4 linked regions of the Elephas maximus indicus genome follow. The protein of the gene in region 3 interacts with the protein of the main gene of each other region in a biochemical or structural test. Links are inferred from orthologs where the notes say so. Each region holds a gene or a part of one and is shown on either strand. Other genes may lie near its edges.

Region 1 (7,164 bases), on a different chromosome or scaffold from region 3:
CTTTGATCCCCCACGTCTGACCACCCAGGACACCTGAGCCCCCCCTCAGATTTGGACCCTTCAAGGCCTCTGCCCCAAGGACCAGAAAAAAAAAACAACAACGACAAAAAAAACAAACCGTTGCTGTCAAGTCGATTCTGACTCTTAACAACCCTATAGGACAGAATAGAACTGCCTCGTAGGGTTTCCAAGGAGCAGCTAATGGATTTGACTGTCGACCTTTTGGTTAGCAGCTCAGCTCTTTACACTATGCCACCAGGGGTGCCCCTGAGGACACATCACCCGAATATTTGACCCTCTCATACCTGACTCCCCAGGACCTCTGAACCCCTCATGCCTCATCTCCAGAGAGTTTGGCTCCTCATCTCATTTTACTGATGAGGAAAGTGTGTGTGTGTCGGGGGGTGGGGGGGGTCAGGTATATGTGTGTGTGCCTCTGATCCCTAACTATGTGTGATCCCCAAGACATCTGAGTACCCCAGGCTGTCTTCTCCCCCGGGACATGTAATACTCCCAGGCCTGCCCCCTATAATTTATGGGATCCTAGCTTCTTGACCTCCCAAGACCTCTGTCATCCCCAGGCTGGATGTCCCCCTAGAACACCTTGGACCCTCCAGCACCCTCCAAGCCCGAGAGATTCTTGACCTCTCTGGACTTATCAGCTCCCCTTGTCCTTGGGCCCCTCAGGGCCTCTGACCCCCAGGGCTCACCCTCCAGCCCCACATAGCCAGGCTTGGATAGAAAGGTCTCTCCTTCCAGGACCACCATGCACTGGTACCGCCCTGCGTCCGAGAGCTGCAGGGACGAGATTCTGACAGGACAGAGAGGTTCTAGGTCAGAGCCAGACACTGGTAAGGAGTGGTCAGAACTGAGATGGGGTGGGGGAAAACTGTAAGAACCATGAAATAGGTACTGTTATTATCTCATTTCACAGAAGGGGAAAGTGAAATCCAGAGGGTGACATAACATGCCGAAAGCCACACAGCTAGGAAGTGGCAAGGCTGGGATTCCCACCTGGGTGGTCTAGCTCCAGGCCCATGATTGTTTTACCCACCATATCAGTATGTGATGGAGGTAGGGGGCTAGGGAAGGACAGGGGTCAGGAGGGACGTGGGGGTCTTGGCTGGTGGAGGGAGACTGGACACCTGAGTTGGCTGACCACTTTCCATTCATCCTGTTCATCTTCGCCCAGGGGCACCTGGGTCTGGGTGGTGTCTGCCAGCTCCAGGACCTGTCCATCCTGGAGCCAGGTCACATCAGGGGGCTCCCCCTGGACCTGGAGCTCACACTGAAGGGCCCCTGTGAGTCCCCGGGCACCAGTGATGTTCCCTGGGCTCCCCACAAAAGGGTTCACCTCAGCCTTTGTGCCTGCAGGGGATACAGGGAAGAGTTAGCTTAGGGGTCCCCGCTTCGCTCTGGCCCCTCTGTTTCCTGTCCTGCTCCCCGCCTGCCCACCGGCTGCCAGGACCCCGCCAGGCCCTCAGGCCCACATAGCTAGAGAGTGACCTCAGAGGGGGTAGAGGGCGGAGGCTTTCGGGGGAGGATGGGAATCTCCCTAGGGGACTAGGTCACTTGTCTGTCCGTTGGGAAGTCTGCTGGGATCTGGCAGCCTCCCACGCCCTGGACTGCCCCCTGGACTGCCTGGCAGGGCAAGCTCCTGCCCCCTCTGCCTGGCCTTAGGGTCTCTAGAGACTTAACGCTCGGGGCTGGGTGGGTAGAGGGGAAGCCAAGGACTGGGAGGGATAGGGGAGAGAAACAGAGGACAGGCGAGAGAGAAGCCAGAGAGAGAAAGTCAGGCATGGGGAGTCAGAGACAGAGAGGCCCAGACGCATACACAGACACCCACACGCACACACACACTCCCCCAGGAGGAAGGAAGAGGAGATAGGCATACAGAAGGTGACTGAAGAGAGGAGACGGGTGACAGTGAGACAAAGCCCCCATCCCCAGAAACGGAGGTCTAAAGACAGACAGACAGCCGTGGGGGGGGGGCGGTGTGGGGGGGTAGTGGTCCTCTTTCCTCTCCCTGACTTTGGCGGGGGGGTTGCGGGGGGCAGAGGTCGTCTTTCTTCTCCCTGACTTTGTGCTCCTTTCTTTTGGGAGATTCCAGGCTACCCCCAGCTCAGCCCCTCTTCCCAAGGCCCCCGACTCAAGCCTAGCCTCCACCCCCCCACCCCAGCTTCTCCTTGGCTCTGTCCCGGAGCTTCTCGCCTTGTGTGTCTGTCTGTCTCTCCTCTCCGAGTGCATCTCTTCCCGTCTCTGGCCCTCTCGGTTTCTATTTCTTGTCCTCCTGTTCCTCTCTCTGAGGCTCTTTCTCTCCCTCTGCCCCTCTGGGTTGGTCTGAGTCTCTGGGTCTCTCTCTGTTGTCCCAGAATGCACACCCCCAACACCTGCCATCCACCCCCGATCCCGTGCTCCCCTCAGCCCCGCACCCGGCGCCCCCCACCCTGCAGTGGCCCTGCCCCACTAAGCCCCTGTCACTCACCCTTGAGGGCCACGCAGCCCCAGCAGCACAGCGCCAAGCACCAGGCCAGCGGGACCCTGCCCATCCTCGGGGACCACGCAGTTGATGCCAAACTTTCCTCACAAGTTCCCAGGCACCCCGCGGGGCAGGGGGCAGGGCCGGGCTGTCCCCAGCCCTCCCCCCAGCTCCGGGCTCCTCGGATTTGGCACTGCCCGCCTGGCACAGCAGGGGCCCCTGGCCGGCTCTACTCAGCAGCCTTGCCTGCTTCCCTGCCTTCTTCTCTCCCTCCCAGACTTTGGGGCAGCCCTTTCCCCGCCCCTGGCCCCCACTGCCTCCGCCCACCAGGGGGCCACCTGGGCAGTGAGGGGTTAACGCAGAGAGGAGTGGACCTGCCCTGTCTTAAAGGGGCCTTGGAGGGAGGCTGGGGAGGGGGAAGGGGGCCCTGGTGGCTGCGCCCCTAATCCTGGGCCGGGAGGCAGGAGGCTGTGTTTCTCTTCGGGGCTCTGGGCGCTGTCTCTCCGTGTCTGGTAAACATTCCTCCAGAAGTCCACTCCCCTCTCAGCCTGTGGGAACCCCCTCCCCGCCTCCACCCCCGGCCTGGCCACCGCCAGGCCTCCCTCGGCTGGCCCTTCACTCCCCCTCACTGTTACAGCTTCTCCTTGGACAGGGGCACACGCACACAGACACATAGGCACACACACGCACACACTCAGCTGTTGACACTCAGAGCTGGGACAGGCAGAGACATGCAGCAGTGTGCTGCTGGCCCGCAGACACACTCAGACAAGCCGGGTCAGAAACTCACTTCCAGAGAAACCTCAGAAACAGGAGGGCCCGACTGCGTTGGCCCATGGGGGACGCAGGGAGACAGGAGGGTCAGACACACAAAAAACACCCCACACGGACACATAGAGGGGACTGCAGTGTGTGGGCGCCCATGGGAACATGGAGCCTCAGACGCACAGAGTTACGCACACGTACAGATACACACACACACACACACACAGTCAGACGCGCAAGGAAACAGACGTATTCCCAGGCAGATGAGCACAGACACTCCAGAGTTACAGTCAGATGCGGGAACATGCAGGCCCACATATAGGCTGAGCGCATGGAAACACAGGCACAGATGGGCTGATACGCGTGGAAACAGAGTCACAGACGCAGAAATACTGAACCAAGGGTGTGTGCAGCTGTGCAGAAACACAGGTACGCAGGGGGTCAGACATGGGAATCAGCCATGTAGACACACACAGACACACACACACACACATAGACACACACACACCATAGCCAGACTGATACTGGTGGAAAAGCTATTCAGCTCTTGGTGTAACCCCATCTCCCAGCCCTGGACCCCCTAAAGCCCTCCAAACAGACCCTACACCTGTGACTTGCCCTTTCCCTACACCCTGTCCAGTAGGCAGAGGCCAGGGGAGTGGAGGGACACTTGAGTTTAAGGTCCTGGTCTTCACCATCTCTCTGGGGTTGGTGGTTACCAGGCTTCATCCATCCACATCCCCTCGTTCTGGGGCCTCCATGGTCCTCCAGAGATAGTGCAATAGAGCAAAGAGAACCCTAGGCCAGGAGGTGGGGTGGGCAGGACCCCCAAGTCCAAGATTTGCTGTGTGGCCTCAGGCTAGTCCCTTCCCCTCTCTGGGCCTGTATCCGCAGTATTGACAAGTTGGTCTCTATGGGTCTGGTGAGCTCTGGGGGTTTGCAGTTGCCAGGAGCAGGGATCTATATTTTCTCTCCCCTGACCTGGCACTCCACCAGGGTTGAGACTAGAATGCAGGCTATAGGTTGGTGAGCCCAGGCATAACCCCCTTGCTCCGGACCCTACTTTTCTGAATCTGAATGTCTTGTCCCCTCTGGGTCTGTTCCCCCAAGCACTTTGGAGCATGAGGCTCTGTCTAAAGCCTGGCCTGTGTCCAGAGGTATAACACATGGGGAGGTTTAGCTAATGGTTAAGACTGGGCGTGAAATCTCAGCCCTCCCACTAACTGTGTGATCTTGGGCAAGTGACTGGCCTCTTTGAGTCTTGGTTTGCCTATCTGTGAAATGGGAATAAGAATAGAACCCACTTGGCTAGGTAGTGGGAGGATGACATAGCAAAGTGTACGCAGTGCTTAGCACTTGGTGACGACTGCTCACGATTTTTCGAATCTTGTCTCTGGTTGTCTCTCTGTGTGCACTTGCTTATCTGTGTCTCCCTGCTGGGATTATGTGTCTTGGTCTGTCCCTGCAGACCCTGTAGTACCTTTGTGTGGACGGTGCTTTATGTCCAGCTCTGTGCCCCTATGGGGGTTCCTGAGGGTATTTAGAATTCTTGCCTTCCGTGTGGAGGCACTGGTTCCATTCCTGGCCGTGCACCTCAAGTGCAGCCACTACCTGTCTGTCAGTGGAGGCTTGGGTGTTGCTGTCATGGGCTGAATTGTGTCCCCCCAAAATATTTGTCAACTTGGTTAGGCCATGTTTCCCAGTATTGTGTGGTTGTCCACCATTTTGTGATCGTAATTTTATGTTAAACGGGATTAGGGTGGGATTGTAACATCTTTACCCAGGTCACATTCCTGATCCAATGTAGAGGTAGTTTCCTTGAAGTGTGGCCTGCACCACCTTTTATCTCTCAAGAGATAAAAAGGAAAGGGAAGTGAGCAGAGAGGGGGGACCTCATACCACCAATAAAGCAATGCCAGGAGCAGAGTGCACCCTTTGGACCCAGGGTCCCTACGCAGAGAAGCCCCTAGTCCCGGGGAGGTTTGATGAGAAGGCTGACAGAGACAGAGAAAGCTTCCCCTGGAGCTTATGTCCTGAATTTGAACTTTTAGCCTACTGGACTGTGAGAAAATGAATTTCTCTTTGTTAAAGCCATCCACTTGTGGTATTTCTGTTACAGCAGCACTAGATGACTAAGACAGTTGCTGTGATGCTGAACAGATTTCAACAGAGCTTCCAGATGAAGGTAGACTAGGAAGAAAGGCCTGATGATCTACTTGCAAAAATCACCCAATGAAAACCTGATGGCTCACAATGGTCTGATCCCCTTATATACGGGGTCACCATGAGTCAGGGCCAGCTCGAAGGCAGCTAACAACATGGGGGTCCCTGCATGCCTTGGGGGTCTCTACATCCATCTCCCTGCTCTTGGCCACTTCTGTTGGTCATCACAAAGATCTGTCCATTCAGTCACCTGTGACCCTTTCTCCACCCCAAATAGTCCAACTCCATTCTCTCCTGCTGGGGTACCTCCCTGGGATTCTGGCCTCCACTGTCTTCCCTCCAAACTGTCTCCCTTCCTGCAGCCAGTGGGGTGTTTTTGAAATTCAAATCTGACCCTGTTCCTCCCCTGCTTAACTGTGGCTTCCCACTGCCTCCAGGTAGCTCCTAGCCCCTTAGACGGGCATAAGTTGGGCAACCACGATCTGGCTTGCTGAACTGTCTCTTCATTGTCCCATCTCAGGGATGGCCCCTGAAGGCATTCTGGCACCCATGCCTGACTCTCGGGGTCCTCCAGGACAGTCCTACCCTGCAGGTAGTTACCAAGTCCCTTGGATTCAGCTTCACAAACCTCTCTCCCATCTACCTCTCTTCTCATCCCCACAATCATGCCCTGGTCCAGCCTGGTTCTTTGCCACTGGGATCCCTGCTCTGGCTTCCTCACTTGGCTCCTGGGCTTGTCCCTTGGTGCCTAGGCTCATCCACAGACTCTTGGGCTTCTCCCCAGACTCCTGGGCTCCTCCCTGGGCTCCTCGGCTCCTGGTCTCCTCCCTAGGCTCCTGGGCTCCTCCCTGGGCTCCTGGGCTCTTCCTCGAGCTCTTGGGCTCCTCCACAGGCTCCTGGGCTCCTCCCTGAGCTCTTGGGCTCCTCCCTAGGCTCCCGGACTCCTTCCTGAGTTCCTGGGCTTCTCCCTAGACTCCTGGGCCCCTCCCTAGGCTCCTGGGCTCCTCCTTGAGCCCCTGGGCTTCTCCGTGGGCTTTTGGGCTCCTCCGTGGGCTCCTGGACTCCTGCCTGGGCTCCTGGGCTTCTCCCCAGCTCCCCAGCTCCTCCCCGAGCCCCCGGGCTCATCTGAGGGCTCCTGGGATCCTCCCTGAGTTCCTGGGCTTCTCCCTAGGCTCCTGGGCTCCTCCTTGCACTCCTGAGCCCCTCCCTGGGTGCCTCCCCAGACTCCTGAACTCCTCCCTGGGCTCTTCCCCCAGCTCCTGGGCTCCTCCCCGGGCTCTTCCCCAGGCTCCTGAACTACTCTGCTTGGGCTCCACGCTTCCTGTCTCACTCCTTCCGACCTGTCTCCTATTCAGCAGCCACAAGGATGTTTCTCAATCACAAATCAAACCTTTCCCTTCCTGCCCCAAACTTCCCAGGACAAAACCCCAAACTCCTCACCAAGGCCTAAAAGGGCCCCCTACCCCTCTCCTCAACACTCCCATCCCTCCCCAGTCTTCTTTCACTTCCTCACAGACCTCAGAACATGCTCCCGCCGCTATTGGTCCCACACATAGGAAAGCCACAAAGTTCCTAAAAGAATTATACCAGCTTGGATTGAGGGAGACAGAAATCCTACTTGGGGGGTCTTTTCCCTCCAAATTTCCACAGGCAGAAAGCAGGTTGAGATTATTGTTGTTGTGAGCTGCTGTCGAGTCTGCCTGACTCATGAAGACCCATGCACAACAGAACACACCACAGATTGTTATGATCCGTAA
Region 2 (7,433 bases), on a different chromosome or scaffold from region 3:
ATAAGGAAATACTCAGGATCATTAGCCATTAGAGAATGCAAATCAAAACTACACTGAGATACCATCTCACCCCAACAAAGCTAGCACTAATCCAAAAACACAAAATGATAAATGTTGGAGAGATTGTGGAGAGATTGAAACACTTATATACTGCTGGTAGGAGTGTAAAATGGTACAACCACTTTGGAAGTTGATTTGATGCTTCCTTAAAAAGCTAGAAGTACCATAGAAAAATAAGAGCACTCACACAAATAGATATATGCACACTCACGCTCATTGCAGCAACGTTCACAACAGCAAAAAGGTGGAAACAACCTAGGTGCCCATCAAACAATGAATGGATAAACAAATTATGGTATATTCACACAATAGAATACTATGCAACAATGAAGAACAATGATGAATCTGCAAAACATCTAATAACATGGATGAATCTGGAAGGCATTATGCTGGTTGAAATTAGTAAGTCACAAAAGGACAAATATTGTATGAGACCACTATTATAAAAACTCCAGAAAATGTTTAAACACAGAAGAAAACATTCTTTGATGGTTAAGGGTGGAAGTAGAGAAGAATTATCTTAGGCGGACAACACACTGTTCAGGGGAAGTCAGCACAACTGGACTAGACCAAAAGCTAAGGAATTTCCTGAATATGACCAAACACTTCGAGGAACAGAATAGCACTGGTGGGGATCTGGGGAACCATGGTTTCAGGGGACTTCTAGGTCAATTGGCATAACAAAGTTTATTAAGAAAATGTCCTGCATCCCGCTTTGGTGAGTGGTGTCTGTGGTCTTAAAACTAGTGAGTGGCCACCTAAGATGCATCAGTTGATCCCGACCAACCTGGAGTAAAGGAGAATGAAGAACACCAAAGACACAAGGAAAATATTAGCCCAAGAAACAAAAAGGGCCACATAAATCAGAGACTCCATTAGCCTGAGACCAGAAGAACTAGATGGTGCCTGGCTACCACCAATGAACACCCTAATAGGGAGTACAACAAAGAGTCCCTGATGGAGCAGGAAAAAAGTAGGGTGCAGAACTCAAATTCTAGTAAAAAAACCAGAATTAATGGTCCGACTGAGACTGGAGGGACCCCAGAAGACAAGGCCCCAGGACTCTCTGTTAACCCAGAACTAAAACCATTCCCAAAGCCAACACTGGACTATAAGACATAAAATGATACTCATGAAGAGTGCGCTTCTTAGGTCAAGTAGATACATGAGACTGATGGGCAGCTCCTATTCAGAGGTCAGATGAGAAGGTAGAAAGGAATAGGAGCTTTTTGAATGGACATGGGAAATCCGGGGTGGAAAGGAGGAGTGTGCTGACATATTATAGGGATAGCAACTTGGGTCACATAACAATGTGTGCATAAATTTTTATATGAGAAACTAACTTGAGCTGTAAACTTACACTTAAAGCACAATTAAAAAAAAAAGAACAAACAATTTTAGCATAACATAGTTTATAAGGAAAATGTTCTACATTCTACATTGGTGAGTAGCCTCTGGGGTCTTAAAGAAAAGATTATTTTTCCTAATTAGCAGTGTTCTAGTAGTGCCTCGAACTGTGAAGGGGTCTTTATTGTGCTGAGGGGTATGTGTTTTTTCCCCCATGATTTGGCTAAATGTGATGTTTGGCGGCATTACCAAAGAGGGACACAAGTGTTTAAAGCCTGCTCTCCTTGTCTCTATTTCAGTTCAGATTGTCCCTAAGCTTGGGGGACAGTGGGTGTGTCAGGGGCAGGGATGGGGCTTCTGAGTCCTCCTAGAACAATATGAATCAAGAGAAGAAGCAGGGCCGAGGAAGATGTACAAATACAGCATAGTTCTTATTGGAGAATCGTGGAAGTTTGAGATAAAAAGCGGAGGGTCCTAGCCTGAGGCAGAGGGTCCCGCAGTCCAGCGGTGGAATCTCTGAGAGATATTAGATGTCAAGCACAGAATTTGTGCTTTTCTCTGCAGCCCTTCTCCTCCCTACCAACTGGTTTATTCTTAACAGAAGAAGGTCAATTCCATTGTCTGTAGTTGAATTATTTGGGAGAGATCTGATAAACTAACAACAACTAACATTTCTTGAGGGCTTACTTTGTTGCCGGAGTCCACGGGTTGTGCGATAGCTAAGCGTTTGAAAACCTACTAACGGAAGGGTTGGTGGGTCGAGTCCACCCAGAGGAGCCTCTGAAGAAAGACTTAGTGATCTACTTCTGAAAAATCAGCCGTTGGAAACCCTATGCACAGTTCTACTTTGAAACACATGGGGTGGCCACAAGCCTAAAAGACTTGATGGCAACAGTTTTTATTTATGTATTTTTGGTTTCACCTTGTTGCCAGGGACTCTTCTAAAGGTATCTTATACTTTGACTCATTTAATCCCCACAGAGCCTTGTAAGGTAAGTACTATTATGATCATGCACATTTGGGGGATGAGGAAACTGAGGCACAGAAAATAGAAAGCGACCTGTCCAAATCACAGAGATAATAAGTGATGGAGCTGGAAGCTGCACCCAGGCAGTTTAACTCCAGGGCCCATTCTTACCCATCATGCAATACTACCTCTCTATCCTCCCACCCAGGATGTAGTCTATTTTTCCATGTATTTGCATCTTTGCCATTTTCAGTAAAATTTTGTAATTTTTAAAATATACACCTGTATAATTCTTGTTAGAGTTATTTTAGTATATTTTAAGGGCTTTTTATGAGTGTGGTAGAATTCTTAAAATTATATTTTCTAGCTAATTATTATTTAAACTTACTGTCTTAGTTTTTTCTCAGTCTGTCTTAGTTATCTAGTGCTGCTATAACAGAAATACCACAAGTGGATTGCTTTAACAAACAGAAATTTATTCTCTCACAGTTTAGGAGGCTAGAAGGCCGAACTCAGAGCACCAGCTCAGGGAGAGGGATTTCTTTCTCTGTTTATCTTCCCCTGGGTGTAGGAGTTTTCTCAGCACAAGGACCTCAGGTCCAAAGGACACGCTCTACTCTTGGCTCTTCTTTCTTGGTGTTAGGAGGTCCCTCTCTCTCTGCTCCTCTCTCTCACCTCTTATCTCTTACAAGATAAAAGATGATGCAGGCCATACCCCAAGAAAACTCCCCTTATTGGATTGAGGGCTGTAACCTGAGTAAGGGTGTTACATCCCACCCTAATCCTCTTTAACTTAAACTAATCTTGCCTCATTAACTACAGGCAAAGATTAGGATTTAAAACACATAGGAAAAGTACATCAGATCACAAAATTGAGGATAAGCACAGAATACCAGGAATCATGGCTTAGCCAAGTTGACCCATATTTAGGGGAGACACAATTCAATCCATGACACTGCCTTTAATGACTACAACCAAAGCCACATGTGAGTTCAAGAATTAAATTTGAATTTCAAATAAGCAACCTTTTTTTTAGTATGTTTCATACAATATTTGAGGCATACTTATACTAAAAATTATTCATTATTTATCTGAAATTCAAATTTAACTGAGTGTCCTGTGTTTTACCTGGCAACCCTAAAAGGAGCTGCAAACAGAAATTCCTACAGTGGTCAGGAAGCCATTTCCCACATGTGGTGGTGTGTGACACATAGTCGGGGGTGGGGACCCTGGGTGACCTGGAGCTTCAGGGCTCTGTCCACGTGGGCAGCTGCTACCCAGCTCACACCAACTGGGTTTGCAGAGATGGTCTTGAGTGTGCCCAGTCTTCTAATGTTTCAAGACAGAATTAAAACCTGTATTTTTGATGTGGAATCTCCTGATTTTAAAGGTAGACAGCCAATTAGAAGAAAAACATTGTGAGGTACAAATGAAACAGGCCTGTGGGTTCTGTAAGGCCTACGGGCCACAGGTTTGCAACTTCTGATCTAATCTCTAGATAGTGGGTGGGGCAGGGTTTTTTCTCCTGTAAATTCTGGTGTTTTGCAATGTCAGGGTAAACAGTATTTGGGTTAGGGGAAGGGATGGCAGCTCATGCAAAAGGTAAGATGTGGAAGTGGTTCCTCTGGCCACAACTCAATGGTCTCTCCCCTCAGTGCTTGAAAGCGCCCCGCTGGCCAACCTCTCTGCAGTTAGGCAGCAGGTTATGCCCACCAGGCTGGCCCCTGATTCTTACCTGCTCCAGCAGGTCTGAGAAAGAGGAGCCTAACCTACCAGCCTTTTCAGGTAGCAAAGCAACAGCAACTGGGACTTTGAATGCTTTCGTCAGAAAATTGTGGGTAGAAGCTTACAGCGGTTTACCCTGAGCTCCTTGAGGCTTTCAACTTCAGGCGCAAATTGCTCCGAGCTCCTTGAGGCTTCTCAGCTTCAGACGTAAAGTGAGTGGGTGTTTCTCTGAGAAACAGAAAGAGATCGAGAGAAGTGTTTCCCTTAGCTGTGGAAACTCTATAAAGAGAGCTCCGGCTTCCCTTTTCTTGAGCACTTAGCAACAGGAGTCCCCTCCTCTGACACCTCAGCCTACACAGGATCGAGAAGAAGTAAAATTCTTTGCCTGGAGGGTGCCCTGAGTTCCTGGCTGCCATGTGGCAGCCACTGAATTACCCATATCCCCAAATCTACTGGGTGGACAGCAGCTCCAGCTCTCCTTTGGCCCCTCCAGGGTCTGCTCTCCCCTGCCCTTCCTCTGTGCCTGGAAGACCCGGCCAAATGAGGCCACCACCACCCCCACCGCCACCGCTGCCACCACGGCCACCACTGCCTCCATTCCCACCATCACTTCTGAAGAAGAGACGGAATCCCAACACAGGCCTATATCTCCTCGTAATGTTTTTCATGGTTCTGGTGGCCCTGGTTGGACTGGGGCTGGGGTTGTTCCAGCTCTTCCACCTGCAGAAGGAGCTGGCTGAACTCAGAGAGGTAAGCCTGGCCTGAGGGGGGCTGCGTGCTGGGCTCACCAAGACAGCTCTGTGCAGTGGGGGCCGAGGACCACTGTGGCCCACTGCTTTCTTTGCCAAGTGCTTCTCAATCTTTTTTTTCCTCTCTTGGAAATGGGTTATTACGCTCATTCCATTCTACAGGCAGAGAAATAGAGAGCCATACATGTGAGGGGATTTTTTTTTTCCTCTGTCTTATAAAGGATCAGGGCCAAGATAGGATTAGCATTTACAATTCCTTTCTCAGTTGGCTAATCAGTCTGCCTAGCTATTTACTGCCTAACACCTAGTGAGTCAAAAAATAAAATAAACATTGATTCTTGCTTAGAAGTGGATTAGTTCAAATGGCCAAACTAAATCTCCTTGAAAATCCTTTAAAAATACTAGTACTATTCCAAATCACAAAACTGAGCTAGAAAGGGCACAACTGCTTGGCAAAAGTCTGAGATCAGAGAGATTCTGAGGTATTTGGGTTCTCTTTCCAGGGCTTGGTTTTTTTTGACAATCCTGCCTCCTTTGCCTAAAGGTCTTCATATTTATTACATATCTTTTCTCTTTTGCCAGTCCACCCGCCTAAGCCCTGTAGCATCATCTCTGGAGAAGCAAATAGGTGAGTCCTTTTATGTACATACATTGAATTCTCAAAGATAGTCCTCAACACTAAACAATGTTGGTGCAGTGGCTTGCAATCCTTCTCATTCCTGGGCATGTATATACTACGAGAGGGAGCCCGGCTAATTCCAAACCTCTGGTCATTACGGTTTATTCTGCTACTTTAAAATATGAAGTGAATTTAATTGTTCAAAATCAGTGTAGCTGAGTACTGTACAGAATTCAAAATAACTTGTACTTGACCTTGGATGGAGACACACACACACCCTGAACTTTTGCCTCCTGAACTGCTGGCTCCAGGCCTGTCCCCTTCCTCAGGCCTCCTGAGTCCGGTGCCCATGGCAGTGATTGTAACTCCCAGGGAGACAGAGTGGGGTGGAGACAGAGAAGGTGTTTCTGGGAAATGTTCTTTCCTTTTTAAACTTTCTAAAAGAGATTACTCAAGAGTCAAACTCTATTTTAAAAAAATATTTTATAAACTAAACTCAGCTTGTAATAACAGTACAGCCAATCACCTTCATTAGGATGGTTCTTCTGGAATGACTGGAAAGTTTAGGGAAGCCTAGCAACTATTCAAAGGAAAGTCCAGCTTCACACCTAGAAGCAGTCATGTGCTCATATCCTTTGTATGAGACTCAGGACAGGAAGAAGGTAAAGTTGTTGAACAGTGACCTCATGAAGCTTCAGGCCATAGTTTTTGAAGTGCTGAACAGATAGATTTTTAGGATATTCCCAATCTGTCTTAAACTAAGATTCATTGAACTCATAAGATTTGGTTAGAGTTGAAAGGGAGCTTAGAGCTTATTTGATCCAGCTCATTTTCCAGAAAAGAAACAAAATACCAGACAGATTAGGTGATATTCCCAAGACCACTGACATGGACCTCAGACTAGAGGAAACAAAGCTTTTGACGCTTCGTCACCTGTGGGGCCTTCCAGCATGCGGACTGGTGCCTCATAGGATAAGGAAAAGCCTGTCTCTCTGATGGCCATGGAATGAGAAATAAGAGGAAAGGCAGGATGCCTCTGCAAGTAGGCACATCTCATCCCTGGAAACCGAGCAGAACACAGAAGGCAGAGCTGGCCAGCCATTCGGTGGAGCGTGCTTGGGTTCTTAGGGGGTGCCTACTACAGGCAGCCCAGGTACCTTGCTGTCCTCGGTTGTAAGTTCTTGCAGGAGCAGGTGCTCTGGAACCCAGTTCTGGGTCAGAGCCCCTAAGTGTTAGAAAGTCCAGACATACACAAGCAGAGAGGAAATATTTGTTAGAAAAATGAAGACTTTGGAAGACTTCTAGAAGGAAGTAGCTTTGAAAACCAGTGGAATGGGGCTGGTGAAGAAGGCGCCTTATTACTCATCTCTCACCTACTCAGTGGAGTCATTTTAGTGAGGAAAAGTCAAACGAACAGATGACTCAGGTCTACCTACCCCAGGAAACATGTATCTTCTCTAGATTGACCCAGGTCAACCTGAAATGGGTGAAATATCACATGGAAATCAAGGTAGTAACTTTATCAGTAGGATAAGAAATTCAAATGGAGATAGGGGATACCTATTTTCATACATCAAATTGGTAAAGATTTAAAAAAAAAAAAAAGGATAATACCCAGATTGGCAAAGAGATGAGAGAAAAGGGCTTCCTTCAACATTAGTTGACAACCAGTGGCAATATAAATTGCTATAATTTTTCTGAAGAACAGTTTGGAAAAAGATATCAATAACCTAAAAGTGTTAACTTACCTTGAAATCAACGCAATATGAATTTGTCTTGAGAAAATAATCAAAGACATGCCTGGAGATTTATATAGAAGGAAGAAACCTCATGCCTTATAACAGAAGAGTAGTTAAATATAGTGAATTTAGATGAGAGAATACTATGCAGCAACTAAAAACTGTATGTTAGAAGGACATTTAATGCCACAGGGACTGCTATTGCATATTTTTAGATGAAAAGGCAA
Region 3 (7,564 bases):
GTCTTGAGCCTACTTCTAGGGGAGAAGGTTAGATGTAAGGCTAATTGTATACAGGCCTCCAAAAAAAAAAAAAAAAAATTGCGGTGGAGCAAATTTTGACTGAGGGCGACCCCATGTGTTGCGGAGTAGAACTGTGCTTCATAGGGTTTTCAATGGCTGACTTTTTGGAAGTAGGTCTTCAAGGCTTTTTTCCTAGCGGCCTCTAGGCCAATGCAAACCACCAACCTTTCATTTTGTAGCCCAGCCTGTTAACCGTTTGTACTACAGACCTTCACAGACCTCCAAGGTAAGTAAATTTCAGGGCAATATCCAGTTTTCACCTCGAGGTGGCAGTACCATAACTCCCAGAAAGCAAAGCAAGATACTCTACCTGTCGACTAAAATGAACCGCAAACCCCAAAGAGAGACTTTTTGATGATTAATTTATGCATTATGAAATAACTGATGTAGCCAGTTTGTAATCAGCAAGTTTCGCAACAGTTATAACAGGTTTTCACATCAGGGCGTGACTTTGACTTCACAGCTTGCTTCTTCCCTCGTTTTCAGAATTTAACGTTGGCGGCCATACGCATTCAAAACACTACTGCCTCTTCTGTGTTTTCTCTGTGGGGAATGATCTCTGGCAATGCTCTCTCAAGCTTCAGAGTCTGCGTCTGCAGAACAATAACAAAAAGTAATGAAAAGATAATGTAGCACTGTTTTTTTTTTTTGGTCACCCACAATTGCTCCATTTCAACACAAATATTTTTATTTTTAAATATTCCCTTCCAAATCTGGTCCATATGCATATAATTTTACATAGGAATACTCAGAGACGGTTTTATCAATGCTGCATTTTAAAAGGAAGTACATAACTTTTTTTTCTGCTCTCTTAGGCATCTAGTCTCTTCTGAGATCTTACTTCCTTAGCTTCAAATACCATCACTGCACAGAAGAGCAGCCACAGGTTTATCTCTAGTCAACCTTCATTCTTCAGCCATCTATCCATGTGTTCATTCATCCATCTACTTAGTCACTCTGTGAATCCTATTTTGTACCAGGCACTGTGCTGGTTGCTGGGAATACAAACATGAAAAGGTGTTTGTCCTGGAGCTTGCAGACCATTAGGGGGCAGGAAAGCAAGCAAATAGTAATAATGCAGTGAAATGAGATGTATGATGGGAATTCTGGAGAAGGAGCCCTAAGGCTGACTTGGAGAACTAAAGAAGGGGAGAAGGCCAACCAGGCAGAGGAAACAGCATGTGCAAAGATAAGGACACTCAGAAGATCTGACACTCTCCGGAAACCACAAAGGGTTTAGTATTGGTGGAGCCTGTGTTGGGGGAAGGGGGGAAGGTTGGGTTGGTTGAGGAAAGGTGGGTGGGGCTGGGGAACAGGGGCCAGATATCAAAAAAACAAGGGCCTCAGAAAGGACTTGAGATACTATCTTGTAGTTGATAAATATCTCAGTTCCAATTGATTTTCCACTCTGCAGCCAGCATGACAAAGAATTTTGAAGTATCTGACCATGGCCCATCTCTGCTTGAATATCCTAGAGAACCAAGTTTCAAGTCTTCAGCAATGCTGAAAAGGCCCCACATGAGCTCTCTGACCTCCAGACATATGCCACGTTCTTCTTCCCTTTGCCTTCTTCTTCGCAGCTAGAACTGGCATCCTTGAGTTCTCTCTTACTGTCCGGCCCTTGCACATGCTGTACCCTCCATCTGGAATACTCGTTCCCTCTTAGACTGGCTAACCAGGGTCTCAGAGCCTCTGCGTGGTGCTAACAGTTAATGCTCTTGGCAGCTAACCAAAAGGTTGGAGATTCAAGTCCACCCAGAGACACCTCAGAAGAAAGGCCTCGTAATCTACGTGATAAAAGTCAGTCACTGAAAACCTATAGAGCAGGTTGAGGATTGCGGTCTCGGGGAACATCTAGATCAATTGGCACAGCATAGTTCATAAAGAAAATGTTCTACATCTCACTTTGGTGAGTAGTGTCTGGGGTCTTAAAAGCCTGTAAATGGCCATCTACATATATTGGTCCCATTCCATCTGGAGCAAAGGAGAATGAAGAAAACCAAAGACACAAGGAAAATATTAGTCCAAAGGACTAATGGGCCACATGGACCACTGCCTCCACCAGCCTGAGACCAGAAGAACTGAATGATGCCCAGCTACCACCACTGATTGCTCTGGCAGGGATCACAATAGAGGGTTCCAGACAGAGCAGGAGAAAAATGTGGAACAAATTCAAATTCACAAACGAGATCAGACTTATTGGTCTGACAGAGATTGGAGGAATCCCCAAGACTATGGCCCCTGGACACCCTTTTAACTCAGAACTGAAGCCACTCCCGAAGTTCACTTCTCAGCCAAAGATTAAAAAAAAAAACAAACCCAGTGCCGTCAGGCCTATAAAACAAACAGTAACACACGTGAGGAGTATGCGTCTTAGATCAATCAAGTATAGGAGACCAATTGGTCAAAACCTGACCCAAAGCAAAGACAAGAAGTCAGGGACAGAAAACTGGAAGAATGGAAAAGGGGAACCCCAAGAGGAAAATGGGGCAGGGCCGACACACTGCAGGAATTACAATCAATGTCACAAAACAATTTGTGTTTGAATGAGAAACTAATTTGTTCTGTAAACTTCCTCCTAAACTGCATTAAAAAATAAAAATAAAAAAAGAACCTATAGAGCACAGTTCTACTCTGACACACAGGGGGTCATCGTGAGTTGGAATGGACTCTATGGAAATTGGTTAACTGGTTATGGTTTAGTCCTTCCCTTCCATGTCTATTTTTCTGGCCGCCATTCTAGAACAGAGTGTAATAGTGGGGGGGGGGGGAACATGTGTTTTTGAAACAAGATGGGTTCAAATCTTGGGTCTGCTATATGTGGTTTCTTTGGGTAAGTTACTAACCTCACTATGCCCCAGTTTCTAAATTTGTAAAATGGGGATATTAACCACTCTATACATGAACTGGGAAACCCTGGTGGCGTAGTGGTTGAGAGTTCCACTGCTAACCAAATGGTTGGCAGTTCAAATCCACCAGGCGCTCGTTGAAAACCGTTTGGGGCAGTTGTACTCTGTCCTATAGGGTTGCTATGAGTGGGAGTCAATTCGACAGCAATGGGTTTATACATGAGCTGTGACTTTAGTACATATCAGGTGCTAAATAGATGGTCCTCTTGTTATTACCATCTCACGTCAGATATCTACTTACAAACCATCAGAGGTTGCACATCACTTAAACCTAAGCTAAGCTTCTTGGCCACTATCTCCTTATTCCTTCCCCAAATCCTGGGCTATGGCCAGTCTGAAATATTGGCTGATCCATCATTTTTCCTCTCTGCTTTCAAATTCCAGCTGAAACACCACGTCCTCCCTGACTACTTCAGCACGAGAACTGTAATGGCTCCCTCCTCAGCAGTCCTATAGGTCGTTCAGTGGTACTTGGTGCCAGCGACTTCGACTTGCAGACTAGGCAACTCTTCTCTAAATCGTAAACTGCTGAAAGCGGAGGTTCTGTCTGGTTCATCTTTTAGCCTGCAGAGTGCATTGCCAGCAATTGCTGATCAATAAATATCTGGTGAAAGAACAATTCCTCTTCCTTATTTCAATAGGCTTATTTTCTCTATAGAATCAGATGTTTGGTTATTCTCATCACCATGCCATTTTGCCGGTTTCCAGAGAGCACATTCACGTTAGATGTGTTCTGTTGCCTCCTTTAATTGGAATACGCGTTTGGAACTGAAAAGAGGAGTTTTTTCTCCAAGTCTCAGCTTCTGCCACTCCAGGGTACTCACCCGCCTCGTGCAACCATCGAACTACTTAGCATAGCACAGCACAGGACATTCTCTCCCGCCTCTGTTACCGTTGCCTGGGATGCCCTTACCCTGGCGAACTCCTACTCGTCCTCCAAGACTCAGCTCAAACGTCACATCACCTTTTCTGTGAAGGTTTTCTACCGTGGGCTGAATGGTGACCCCTCCTTCCATCCTTTTCCCGTTTTCCGCAATCCCCAAATAATTACAGCAGTGCTTATAGCATTATTTGCTTACTTTTGTTCAACTTCTCTAGGCTGTGGATTCCTCGAGGGCCGGATTTTTGTTCGTCATTGTATCTTATATACTTAGCACATAGTAGGCACACGATTCCATCAAAGTGAACCAGAGCGTTAATTCACCCAACACTGCAGTTTGTATGGACCGGACTCTCAAACATTTCAAGACCTGGTTCTCTATTTGGAGAAGCTTCATACTGCAGGGAGCGTTTTTGTTTTTGTTTTGTTTTGTTTCATTACCTTGGGTTGCTGAAAGGGAAACGGAAAGTGATTACGGTCTGGCAAGAAGTACACCTTCAGGTCTGAGGCGTAATTTACTCGCTCTGGCACCGAGCGGGTTACAGCGGCCCGGGGGCGGAGCCAGCCCGGTGCCACGGGCTGCGGGGCGGTCTGACGCGTGCGCCCTGGCACGCCGCTCGGCTCCATTCGCGGAGGCCCGGCCGCGGAGGTGCGCTTGCGCTTTGGGCCTCTTCCGCCGGGGGGAGTCTCGCGGGGGCGGTACGCGGCAGTTCTCGCGGGACCCCGACGAGGAGCGGAAGCGAGGCGGCTCTGCTGCTTCTGCGACCCGGCGGCTGTGGGGGTGACGGCGGCGGGAACAGGAGCTGCCCTCGGGGAGTAGCAGCGGGATCGGCGGCCGCTCGCACCGCTCGGAGGGGCCGGTCGGGCCGGAGCGGAGTCGCTGCGCCACGGTGAGTTCGGGCGGCGTCGCTCGGCGCTGCTCCGATGCTTCTTCCTCCCCGCTCGGCAGCGGGAGGCGGCACCCGGCCGGGCCCGGGAGTCCGGGCGGGCGACGAAGGGCGGAATCCCCGAGGTTCCGACTCCATGCTTCCCTTTTTGGGGTGGTTCCTTTCTGGGCACCGTCCTCCCACGGCTTTTGGCTCTGGGCAGAGTCGCGACCCGGGGGAAGGGGCCGGGGGCTCTCTGGGTGCCTCTCGGTTAAATCTAGTGCCTTCATGGTGAGGGTGTGCGCAGATGGGGCCCGGGAGGAGCCGGAGAGGCCCTGGGTGCTAATTCTGTGAGTCAGCCTGACTTCGCCCTGGAGGTGGGGGATCCGGATCAGGCTGCAAGCGCGGGGATGCTCCTGCGACCTGAACGGCCACCACGTCACCATCTCTCGGTGTCTTTGGCCCGAATTTTGCAAGGGAATCCACTAACCCTGTTAGTACCGGGAGCTAGAACGTTTGCTGCCGGAGCCAGTAGAAAATCAAGCCCAACCCGTTGCCGTCGAGTGATTCCGACTCATAGCGACCCTATAGCGAGAGTATAACTGCCCCACAGTGTTTCCAAGGAGCGCCTGGTGGATTCGAACTGCCAACCTTTTGGTTAGCAGCGGAACTATTAACCACTACGCCACCAGGGTTTCCGGAGCCAGTAAGGATGCCCTTTATTTCTATCTCTAACTTTTCGAGCGTCTCTTTAAAAAATATGTCAGGAAAAATAAGCAGCAGTTGGCTGGCACGCTCCGAGGAAAGATTTCGGCCAGAGGGAAGTCCTGGTATTTGTCGTTGGGAACGCTCTGCGTGTATATATAGCTGTAAACTATCTGACTTACGGCTTGTTTAGAAACTTATCCAAGGCTGATTTCAAGTGTTATAAAAATGCAATTTGCAGAGGAGCTGAAGTGCACTGGAGGTCTAACTTTGGGTGCTGTTGACTCGGAAAAGAGTCAAAGAGACGAGAGAAATTAGCGTTAATCTATTTTGGCTTTCTTGTCTGTCGTTGTGCTTTTTCAGTTATTGCCTTCCGTTTATTGCTGCTTCTCTCACTTGCCCTACAGACGCTAAATGCTTACTTGTGTAATGCAAGTCATTTGCCTCCCCCCCCTTTTTTTCTTCCCTAACCTACTTCCCCTTCCTCTTTCCTCTCCCCTCTCGGTACAGTTTTTCTTTCAAAAGAGGTTTCTGCCGTTGGGCGCAGTTCGTTTTCTCCCTCATTTAAAGATCCCGTTTTCTTGCACGGGAAAACACCCGCTTTCCTGCTTTCATTCCTTTACTTTTAAGCTTCCACTGTGTTCCTTCAGTCAGCCAGCAGGGTTGCTAGAGAGCCGTGTGACACTGGAGTTCTCCCCCTGGGAACTGGTAGGCTCAAAGAATTGAATTCATCAGTAAGCAATCGATACTGCCGCTAGGTCCAGGTGTGGTTTGCTTCTGTTACGTGTGTTTTCGCTTTTCCTTCACTTTATGGTCGTGTTTTTGTGCCCGCTTTTGCTTCTCTTCCTGTGTGTCTTTTATACTTGTGAGGAAGATGGGGTCCATTTGGGGCTTAGATGACTTCTTTATAATTTTTAGTGGGGGTGGTTAATGCTAAAAGATGAAAATCGGTTATAAACCTGTGTTAGAATAAAGATGAGAAAAATGTATGGGAATAAAATTTATTCAGACCATTGATAAATCAGTTAAAGCCAAGCCAGTGTGATTGTTGTCAGTTGCCATCAAGTCAGTTCCGACTCACAGCGACTGAACACTGCCGGTCCTGCGCCATCCTCACAATCTCTTTGCTGTGCTTGAGCCCATTGTTGCAGCCACCGTGTCATATAAAAACCAGAAAACCAAACCCCTTGCTGTCGAGTCGATTCCGACCCATAGCGACCCTATAGGGCAGAGTAGAACCGCACCGTAGGGCTTTTAAGGAGTGGCTGGTGGATTCAAACTGCCGACCTTTTAGTTAGCAGCTGTAGCTCTTAACCACTGGGCCACCAGGGTACTTCTTTTTTCTTTATCAGACTCCTTTCTCTATCTGTTGTAATTAGTCGTTTTTTTTTTTTTTGCCAAAAAGAAATACCTTGATTTGTTCTGTTGCCCCTTCCGGTGTTTATAATTTATGAATCCCAAGATTAAAAAAAGACATTAATTCTTGTAATCAGCCTTCTTTGATGCCAAAATCAAGCGTTTAAATAAATGTTCGAGACAGTTTACTTCCTCAGCAAGTGTATTCAGATTTGGGAGGCGTACTTTTTAAAATTTTTGAATGGTATTAGTTTTTTTTTTAATTTGAATGCTATATTAGTTAATGATAACTTTTCAGTGTTTCTTATTATCATGTTGGCTGTGCAGCAAGTGTGTTCTAATTGTTGCGTAAATGAGAAGAGTCACGTATTTTGGAGAAATGGGGTTAATACAGAATTGAAAACCACCATACTCTCCTGAGAGAAATGAAGTTCCCTGACTCCAGAAGTATCCTGCAGCACTACTGAATGACCATTGAGATGCTTTTCTTTTTTCTTAAATTTGTCGAGGCTGCCTTTTTCCCAGTTGTGCCAGTTGAATACATATTATTTTCACTTTATGCAAAAACATTGTAGTATACTATCAGGAATGCAAATTTTAACATTTGGTTAAGGCACCCTTTTGTAGTACAGCAGCGATTCTTAAAATTTGGTATGCGTAAGAATCACCTGGGGAGCTTATTTAAAATCAAGTTTTGGGCCTAAGGCCACTATGTTGTAGAACTCCAGGGGGCACCCCACGGTAAATCAGTCTCTGAATGGGGTGATTTGGTGCAGATGGTCTGTGGG
Region 4 (6,966 bases), on a different chromosome or scaffold from region 3:
TGATTTTTTAGTTTCTTTGTTTTTTAATTTTATTGTGCTTTAGGTGAAAGTTTACAGCTCAATTGTTTCCCAATCAAAAACTTATACACATATTGTTGTGACATCAGTTGCAATCCCAGCAATGTGACAGCACTCTCCCTCTTTCCACCCTGGGTTCCCCATGTCCATTAGTCCAGTTTTCCTGCTCCTTCCTACCTTCTCGTCTTGCTTTTGGGGAGGAGTTGCCCATTTGGTCTCTATTATGGATTAAATTGTGTCCCCCCAAAATTTGTGTCAACTTGGCTAGGCCATGATTCCCAGTATTGTGTGCTTGTTCACCATTTTGTCATCTGATGTGATTTTCCTTTGTGTTGTAAATCCTACCTCCATGATGTTAATAAGGCAGGATTAGAGGCAGTCATGTTAATAAGGCAGAACTCAATCTACAAGATTAGGTTGTATCTTGAGTCAATCTTTTTTGGGGTCTAAAAGAGAGAATCAGATCGGGAGGGGGGCCCTCATACCACCAAGAAAGCAGCACCTGGAGTGGAGCACATCCTTTGGACCCAGGGTTCCTGCCTGGAGAAGCTCCTGGACCAAGGGAAGATTGATGACAAGGGCGTCCCTCCAGCCCTGAGGAAGACTAAAAGCCTTCCCCTGGAGCTGGCACTCTGAATTAAGGCTTCAAGCCTACTAGACTGTAAGAGAATAAACTTGTTTGCTAAAGCCATCCACTTGAGGTATTTCTACTATAGCAGCACTACATAACTAAGTCTCATATATTTAATTGAACTAAGAAACACGTTCCTCACGTGTGTTGTTTTATAGACCTGTCTAATGGCTGAAAAGCGGGCTTTGGGAGTGCCTTCAGTTCTGAGTTAGCAGGGTGTCCAGGACCATAGTCTCAGCGGTTCCTCCAGTCTCTGTCAAGCCAGTAAATCTGGTTTTTTTTTGTGAATTTGAACTCTGTTCTACATTTTTCTCCCCCTCTGTCTGGGGCTCTCTATCGTGATACCTGTCAGAATTGGTCTGTGGTGGTAGCAGGACACCATCTAGGTCTTCTGGGCTCAGGCTAGTGATGGCTGTGGTTCATGTGGTCCTTTAGTCCTTTGGGCAAATTATTTTCCTTGTGTCTTTGGTTTTCTTCATTCTCCTTTGCTACGGACAGGATGAGACCAATAGATGTATCATAGATACATCTACTTGCAAGCTTTTAAGACCCCAGATGCTATACACGAAAGTAGGATGTAGAACATTTTCTTTACGAACTGTATTATGCCAACTGACCCAGGTGTCCCCCAAGACTCTGGTCCCCAGCCCTCAGCCCCAGCAACTCAGTCCTCAAGGTGTTTGGATGTATCTAGGAAACTTCTACGACTTTGCCTTGGTCAAGTTGTGCTGACTTCCCCTATATTGTGTGTTGTCTTTCCCTTCACCAGAGCTGACACTTTTCTACTATATAGTGATTTGTCCTCCTCATCCCTCCCCTCCCTCGTAACCATCAAAGAATGTTTTTTTCTGTGTGTAAACCTTTTCTTGAGTTTTTATAACAGTGATCGTGTACAGTATTTTGTCTTTGTGTTTGACTTATTTCACTCAGCATACCCTCCAGATTCATCCACGTCATGAGATGTTTCACAGATTCATCATTGTTCTTTATCATTGCGTAGTATTCCATTGTGTGTATGTACCATAATTTGTGTATCCATTCATCTACTGATGGGCACTTAAGCTGTTTCCATCCTTTTGCCATTGTGAATAGTGTTGTGATGAACATGGGTGTGCATACGTCTACTCATGTGACAGCTCTTATTTCTTTTTTTTTTTTTTTAATACTCCTAGGAATGGAATTGCTGAATTGTATGGTATTTCTAGCTTTTTAAGAAGGCACTACATCGTTTTCCATAGTAGTTGTGCCACTTTACATTCCCACCCACAGTGCGTAAGAGTTCTAATCTCCTCGAAAGGTCTCCAACATTTATTTATTTTAACAATGAGATGGTATCTCATTGTAGTTTTGCTATGCTGGTTACTCACTTTGCATAGGGTAAAGGGTGCATTTTAAAGGTGGATGTTGTAAAATCGGGCACAGTATGTGTCTGGGAATTGGTGCTCCCTTCCTAATCTGACCAGAAGGTTCCACAAATGCTCCTTGGTAGAATTACAACTGACAGCCAGGCTTTTACTAGTTTCCCCAAATCCCTGATGGTGGCATTTTTCATTCTCTGTTTTCTGGAGTGCAAATGAAGTCAGGGTGCCCGAAGCAGGTGGTAGGCGTCAATGAAGTATCAGCAGGAACCCATTAGGTGGGCCCTCCATTGAAGGCCACACTCAAGAGCTATAGTTAGTTTTAGAAACCTCCCTTTGGTGGCCATAGTGGGGGGGGAGGGTGGCCTAATGGGGACACCATGACTCGATCCCTTCCTCTACCCCACCCCTCCTCTGAGACCCTAGTGGTGCCACCAGCCTTGCTCGGCACTCGGGTCCCCTTGATACCTAGTCAGTCTTGCTGCCTTCCCCAAGTTCTGCCACCCATGCCTCTCAGTCCCTTGACCACCCATCTACGGGGTCCTGCTTCTTCTTCCTACCTTATCCCTTACCCCTAGTCACTCCATGGACCCTGGCATCCTAGGACTGTTGCTCCTTCTCCAAGGTCACCATTTGCCAAGCACCATCTCCTACTCTTCCCATCCCCAAAGTCTAACTCCCCCCACTCACACCCCATCCATTGGCCTCAAGCTTTCTCTAAACGCATTCAGCGTCCTTGCTTCACTTCCGTCTTTACTTAGCCACAGCACCAGATAAACTCTCATCTTCTAAGACACTAAGCCGGCAGTTACCTGACCCGAGGGCCTTGAGGGCTGCAGGAGAAGCCCCAAAAGCTCAGTGTCAACAGACCCCAGTCACTAGCGGGCCCTCAGCACTCTCGTTGTGTACCCTCCAGCCAATTCCGACTCATAGCGACCCCCTAGGACAGAACCCCATAAGGCTTTCTAGGCTGTATCTTTACATGAACAGATATTCAGGTCTTTTCTCCCGCGGAGCAGCTGGTGGGTTGGAACCGTCTACCTTTTGGTTAGCAGCCAAGCGCTTTGACCATTGCGCCACCAGCACTAACACCCTCCATTTACGGTTTTGCCCTTCTCCTCTAAGACCGAGGGATTGGACCCCGTTCGTTTCAGCCCTGCCACCAGACGCACCAGTCCATCCTCTCCTTCCCTCAGTCGCTGATCAACTGGGAGAGATTGTCTACACAGAAGCTCTCCATCTCCTCGGGCCTCCCCTGCAACAACTGGATTCTGACCGCATCCCCGAAAAGCCCCTTCACTGAGGCGCGCAGCTCCCCCAGCTGCAGTGAGCAGCGTAGTCGAAAGGCCCTGCGCCTCTCCTCCCACTTCCCCCAGGGCCGTTTCACGCCGATTCCCGGGCGACCCGGCCCCAGCCTCCCCTCGCCTTCGCCCGGGTTCTCCCCGAAACGGGCCGGCTCTCAGTCCACCTCCGGGACGCCTGGTCCCTGCGAGCCTGAACCCGCAGCCCCGAGGCTGGCTCCTGCTCGGCCCCACTGCGGTGAGGCGCCCCAGCCAGGTCCGCCTCCGGCCCGGATCTCGGTTTTGTCTACCCTCTCCGCCGCCTCCCGGGTCCGCGTCCGGTCGTCGTGCCGAGCCCTTCTTGCCGGGCTTGGGGGGCGGGCCGAGTCATGCTTGCGCCTCCAGCCCATGGTACGCACTAGGCAGGTCTGTATGCGGCGGCTGCGTGGCCCGAGCAAGCGCACGGTCTCAGAGACGCTGAGCCCCGCCATACCCCAACCGAGACCTCAGGCAACCGACCCGGCCGCAGGCTCCGCCTGCCGCCCCACCTGCCGCCTCGCCAGCACCGCCCAGCAGCGGGTGGGCCTCCTGGCGCAATTGGCCGCGTCGGCCCGGCTTTCCGCGAGCTGATTGGTTGGCCCTCCGGTCAGTCAGGAAAGGCGCCGCGGCGGCGGCGGCTGCGGAGGGAACCCGACCGGAAGGGTCGAAGCGCCCCGGAGCCCCTCACACCCACTGCGGCGGCTGGGCGTAGCGGGGCGGGGCGGCCGGCCGAGCCCGGGGGCAGCGGATCCGGGAACTGCCAGCGCGCAGCGCTGCCAGTCTGCCCGCCCGCCCTCTCCCCTTGGCGCGGCGGCGGGGAGGCGAGGTGAGCGCGGCGGGTGGCGAGAAGGCTAGGCCCGGCGGGGGCTGCTTGGTCCGGACCCCTCCGGCAAGGGGCGGCGGGAGGGCTAGCGGCCGGGCTTTGCGGAGTGGGCGCAGGGCTGCCGGATGCAGGCCGCGGGGTGGGCCAGGGCCTGCGGGGAGCTGGCGGTCCGGGCCGCCGCCCCTGCCCTAGAGGCTGCCGCAATCGCCCCCTTCCTCCCAGCTGTTAGCAGTCCCGGGTGTTGGCAGGCTTCCGGGCCTGGCCCCGACAGACCTGCCCGGGGGTGAGGAGTTGTGGGGGGTGGGGGCGCAGGAAGGGGTCTGCGGGTGCCACCCCTCCTGACTCCGGGGCGCGCAGCTGCACACACACCGGTGCTGCGATGCTCAGGAGCTCCGGGTCTGGTCCCTGCGACCTTGGCCAAGGCACTGACCCTCACCATGCCTCAGTTTACCCATCGGGAAAAGGACGAATTGTCAACACTTTTGTACAGAGTGGTTGTCAGGTTTGTGGCGGTGTGTGAAAGTGCGTGAGCCTTGTACACATTTGTGGGAAATCGGGCAGGATGGTGCCCCTTGCAGGTGTGAGTGGCAGGACAATCCCATCCCTCCCAGCCTCCAGCCCTTGCACTCTTCCAGTGCCTTGTTATTGCACACTCAATGCCCCTGGCAGCGCCTGAGCGGCCCTGCCCACCTCCTCTCCCGTCCCTTCCATCCATAGCAGTGTGCTCCTATCCCACTCACCTCACCTGCCTTGAAAATTCCAAGCCTCATACACCTCAAGACCTTTGCAATTGCTGTTTCTTGTGTTTGGAGTTGTCTTCTGGATCTTTACACAGCTGACTCCTTGGTGTTCGTTTCTCTGGACATCTCTGGTCGTATGTTTTCTGTGAGGCCTTCCTTGACCACCCTCTTTCTTTCTTTAGTCATTCTGTCTCCTTTGTTTAATTTTATTCCCAGTGGTATATTCTGGCTTGAAACTGTTCTGTTTGTCTGCCTGTTTATTTTCTGTTTCTCCTGCTAGGATGTAAGCACTAGGAAAACAGGTAGTTGTCTGATTTGCTCACTGCTTTATCCCAACTGCTTAGAAAGCACACAGTAAGTACTTAGTAATATCAGTTGAATGAATGAATGGATGCTTTAAGGAATGACCCTGCCTCCCTATTGCCTCTGGTTTATCTTTTAATTTAGTGACTTCTGATTAACTTGTGAGACCTATAAGCAGATGGAAGCTTGTTCTCATTTTGTGAAACGTTTTAATGTTCTTGACCTCTTTATTTGGTAACTGTCGGAACAAGCTGTCGATATGAAAGCATGTGATATTTTAGCTCCATCTTCCTTCCATTCAGTAGACATTTATGGAGTTCTAGATTATCTAGGTCAGGTTTTGTGCTAGGCCTTGGGGACACAAATGAGATGGCGACAGGGTCCCTTCCCCCAGAGAGCCCAGCAGGGAAAGCAGACATGCAGACAGTTTGTCCCAGGACAGCATGATGACTGCTATAGTGGAGGAGGCAACAGGTGGTGTTGGGGTTGGGCCTTGAAGGATGCTGAGAAGTTTGCCAGGCAAGGAGAGGCACGGAAGTATGACGAGGTTGGGGGTCAGGCTTTAGCCCAGTATGGAGCTGGAAGTCCGCCACAAGGCCAGGTGTAAGAGAGCACGGAGTGGTGGGGGCCCTGGACTACCAGAACCCCACCCAGCAATTTTTTAAAAGAAGCTAGAATTCCAGATTTTTGTGTTTACTCTCCTGGTTTTGTAAATATCTCCCAAACTTAAACCTACTGCCATCGAGTTGATTCCGACTCAGTGATTCCATAGGGTTTCCAAGGCTGTAAATCCCTATGGAAGCAGACTGCTACATCTTTTCTCTCATAGAGCCACTGGTGGTTTTGAACAGCTGAACTTTTTGGTTAGCAGTCAATTGCTTTAACCACTGCGCCACCAGGGCTCTTTTGTGTAAATGCTGACAGTAGTTAATTAATTACACACACTAAAAACAAGCAAGCAAACCAAAAACTGCTATGAGCCAAGCAAAATATAATAAGCCTCATTCAGCTTGGCTATAGGATTGTCATGCTCCAGGACAGGCTGTGTAGGAGGAAGTTGCTGTGATTCACTGGAAAGGTAGCCTAAGGCCAGGTACCAGCCCAGGTACTCCCACTTAATTGTTAGGAGCCCTTGAGTAACAGCTATGAAACCCATTTTTACAGACGAGGAAACTGAGGCTTATAGAGTTTGAGCAGTCTGCTTCAGATGAGCAGCTGGTAAGTGAAATTTGAACCCAGGTCTCCCCCAGATCCAGTGTTCTTTCCTGGGTCCTTCAGCTCTGAGCACACTCTTTTGGCCTTTGTTATTCTGTAAGAACAAAATCCAATCTAGATGATGTTTTCCTCTATCCATTTTGTTTGTTTCCTTCAAAAGGATCTCGAGGGGTTAAAAATAATTGTATTTTGGCAGTCTTCTCTGGAGAGCTTTGATATGCCTGAGAATTTTATTTTTAAGGTGCCATGACTTTAAATAATTTGTTGACAGATTAAAAGGTGTTTGTTTGGTTCCCTAAATAAATGTTAGAGGGTACACTTAAATTTCATATTTTTCTCTTTAAAATAAAGTCATCTTAATTATCTGGTTAAAGAAAAGTTTTGATGCAGCAAATACTGTGAGTAAGTACATTCTCAAACCAACTGTTTTCGTGATGAATATGGTAAAACAGAAAGCACTTTTTTTTCTTTTAACTCTATTGATTTGGTGGTAAAACCCAAAAAACCAAACCCATTGCCATCGAGTCGATTCTGACCCATAGCAGCCATATAGTACAGA

The links.
Region 1: the proteins of GRB2 (region 3) and AXL form a complex in vitro, tested with the Homo sapiens proteins (2 studies listed by BioGRID, with this or other methods). The link is inferred for Elephas maximus indicus from reciprocal best matches to the Homo sapiens genes GRB2 and AXL.
Region 2: the proteins of GRB2 (region 3) and FASLG form a complex in vitro, tested with the Homo sapiens proteins (2 studies listed by BioGRID). The link is inferred for Elephas maximus indicus from reciprocal best matches to the Homo sapiens genes GRB2 and FASLG.
Region 4: the proteins of GRB2 (region 3) and MAPK9 form a complex in vitro, tested with the Homo sapiens proteins (2 studies listed by BioGRID). The link is inferred for Elephas maximus indicus from reciprocal best matches to the Homo sapiens genes GRB2 and MAPK9.

Annotation. Positions count from the first base shown.
Region 1 is NC_064829.1:109,947,757-109,954,920, forward strand, and holds the start of AXL (tyrosine-protein kinase receptor UFO), read right to left. Parts: upstream 3,002-7,164; 5' UTR 2,550-3,001; coding exon 2,486-2,549; intron 1,369-2,485; coding exon 1,146-1,368; intron 812-1,145; coding exon 711-811; intron 1-710. UniProt on the Homo sapiens protein: Receptor tyrosine kinase that transduces signals from the extracellular matrix into the cytoplasm by binding growth factor GAS6 and which is thus regulating many physiological processes including cell survival, cell proliferation, migration and differentiation.
Region 2 is NC_064821.1:210,464,808-210,472,240, reverse strand, and holds the start of FASLG (tumor necrosis factor ligand superfamily member 6), read left to right. Parts: upstream 1-4,415; 5' UTR 4,416-4,513; coding exon 4,514-4,849; intron 4,850-5,430; coding exon 5,431-5,476; intron 5,477-7,433. UniProt on the Homo sapiens protein: Cytokine that binds to TNFRSF6/FAS, a receptor that transduces the apoptotic signal into cells. Involved in cytotoxic T-cell-mediated apoptosis, natural killer cell-mediated apoptosis and in T-cell development.
Region 3 is NC_064837.1:65,722,145-65,729,708, reverse strand, and holds the start of GRB2 (growth factor receptor-bound protein 2), read left to right. Parts: upstream 1-4,550; 5' UTR 4,551-4,739; intron 4,740-7,564. UniProt on the Homo sapiens protein: Non-enzymatic adapter protein that plays a pivotal role in precisely regulated signaling cascades from cell surface receptors to cellular responses, including signaling transduction and gene expression.
Region 4 is NC_064820.1:202,713,832-202,720,797, reverse strand, and holds the start of MAPK9 (mitogen-activated protein kinase 9), read left to right. Parts: upstream 1-3,946; 5' UTR 3,947-4,152; intron 4,153-6,966. UniProt on the Homo sapiens protein: Serine/threonine-protein kinase involved in various processes such as cell proliferation, differentiation, migration, transformation and programmed cell death.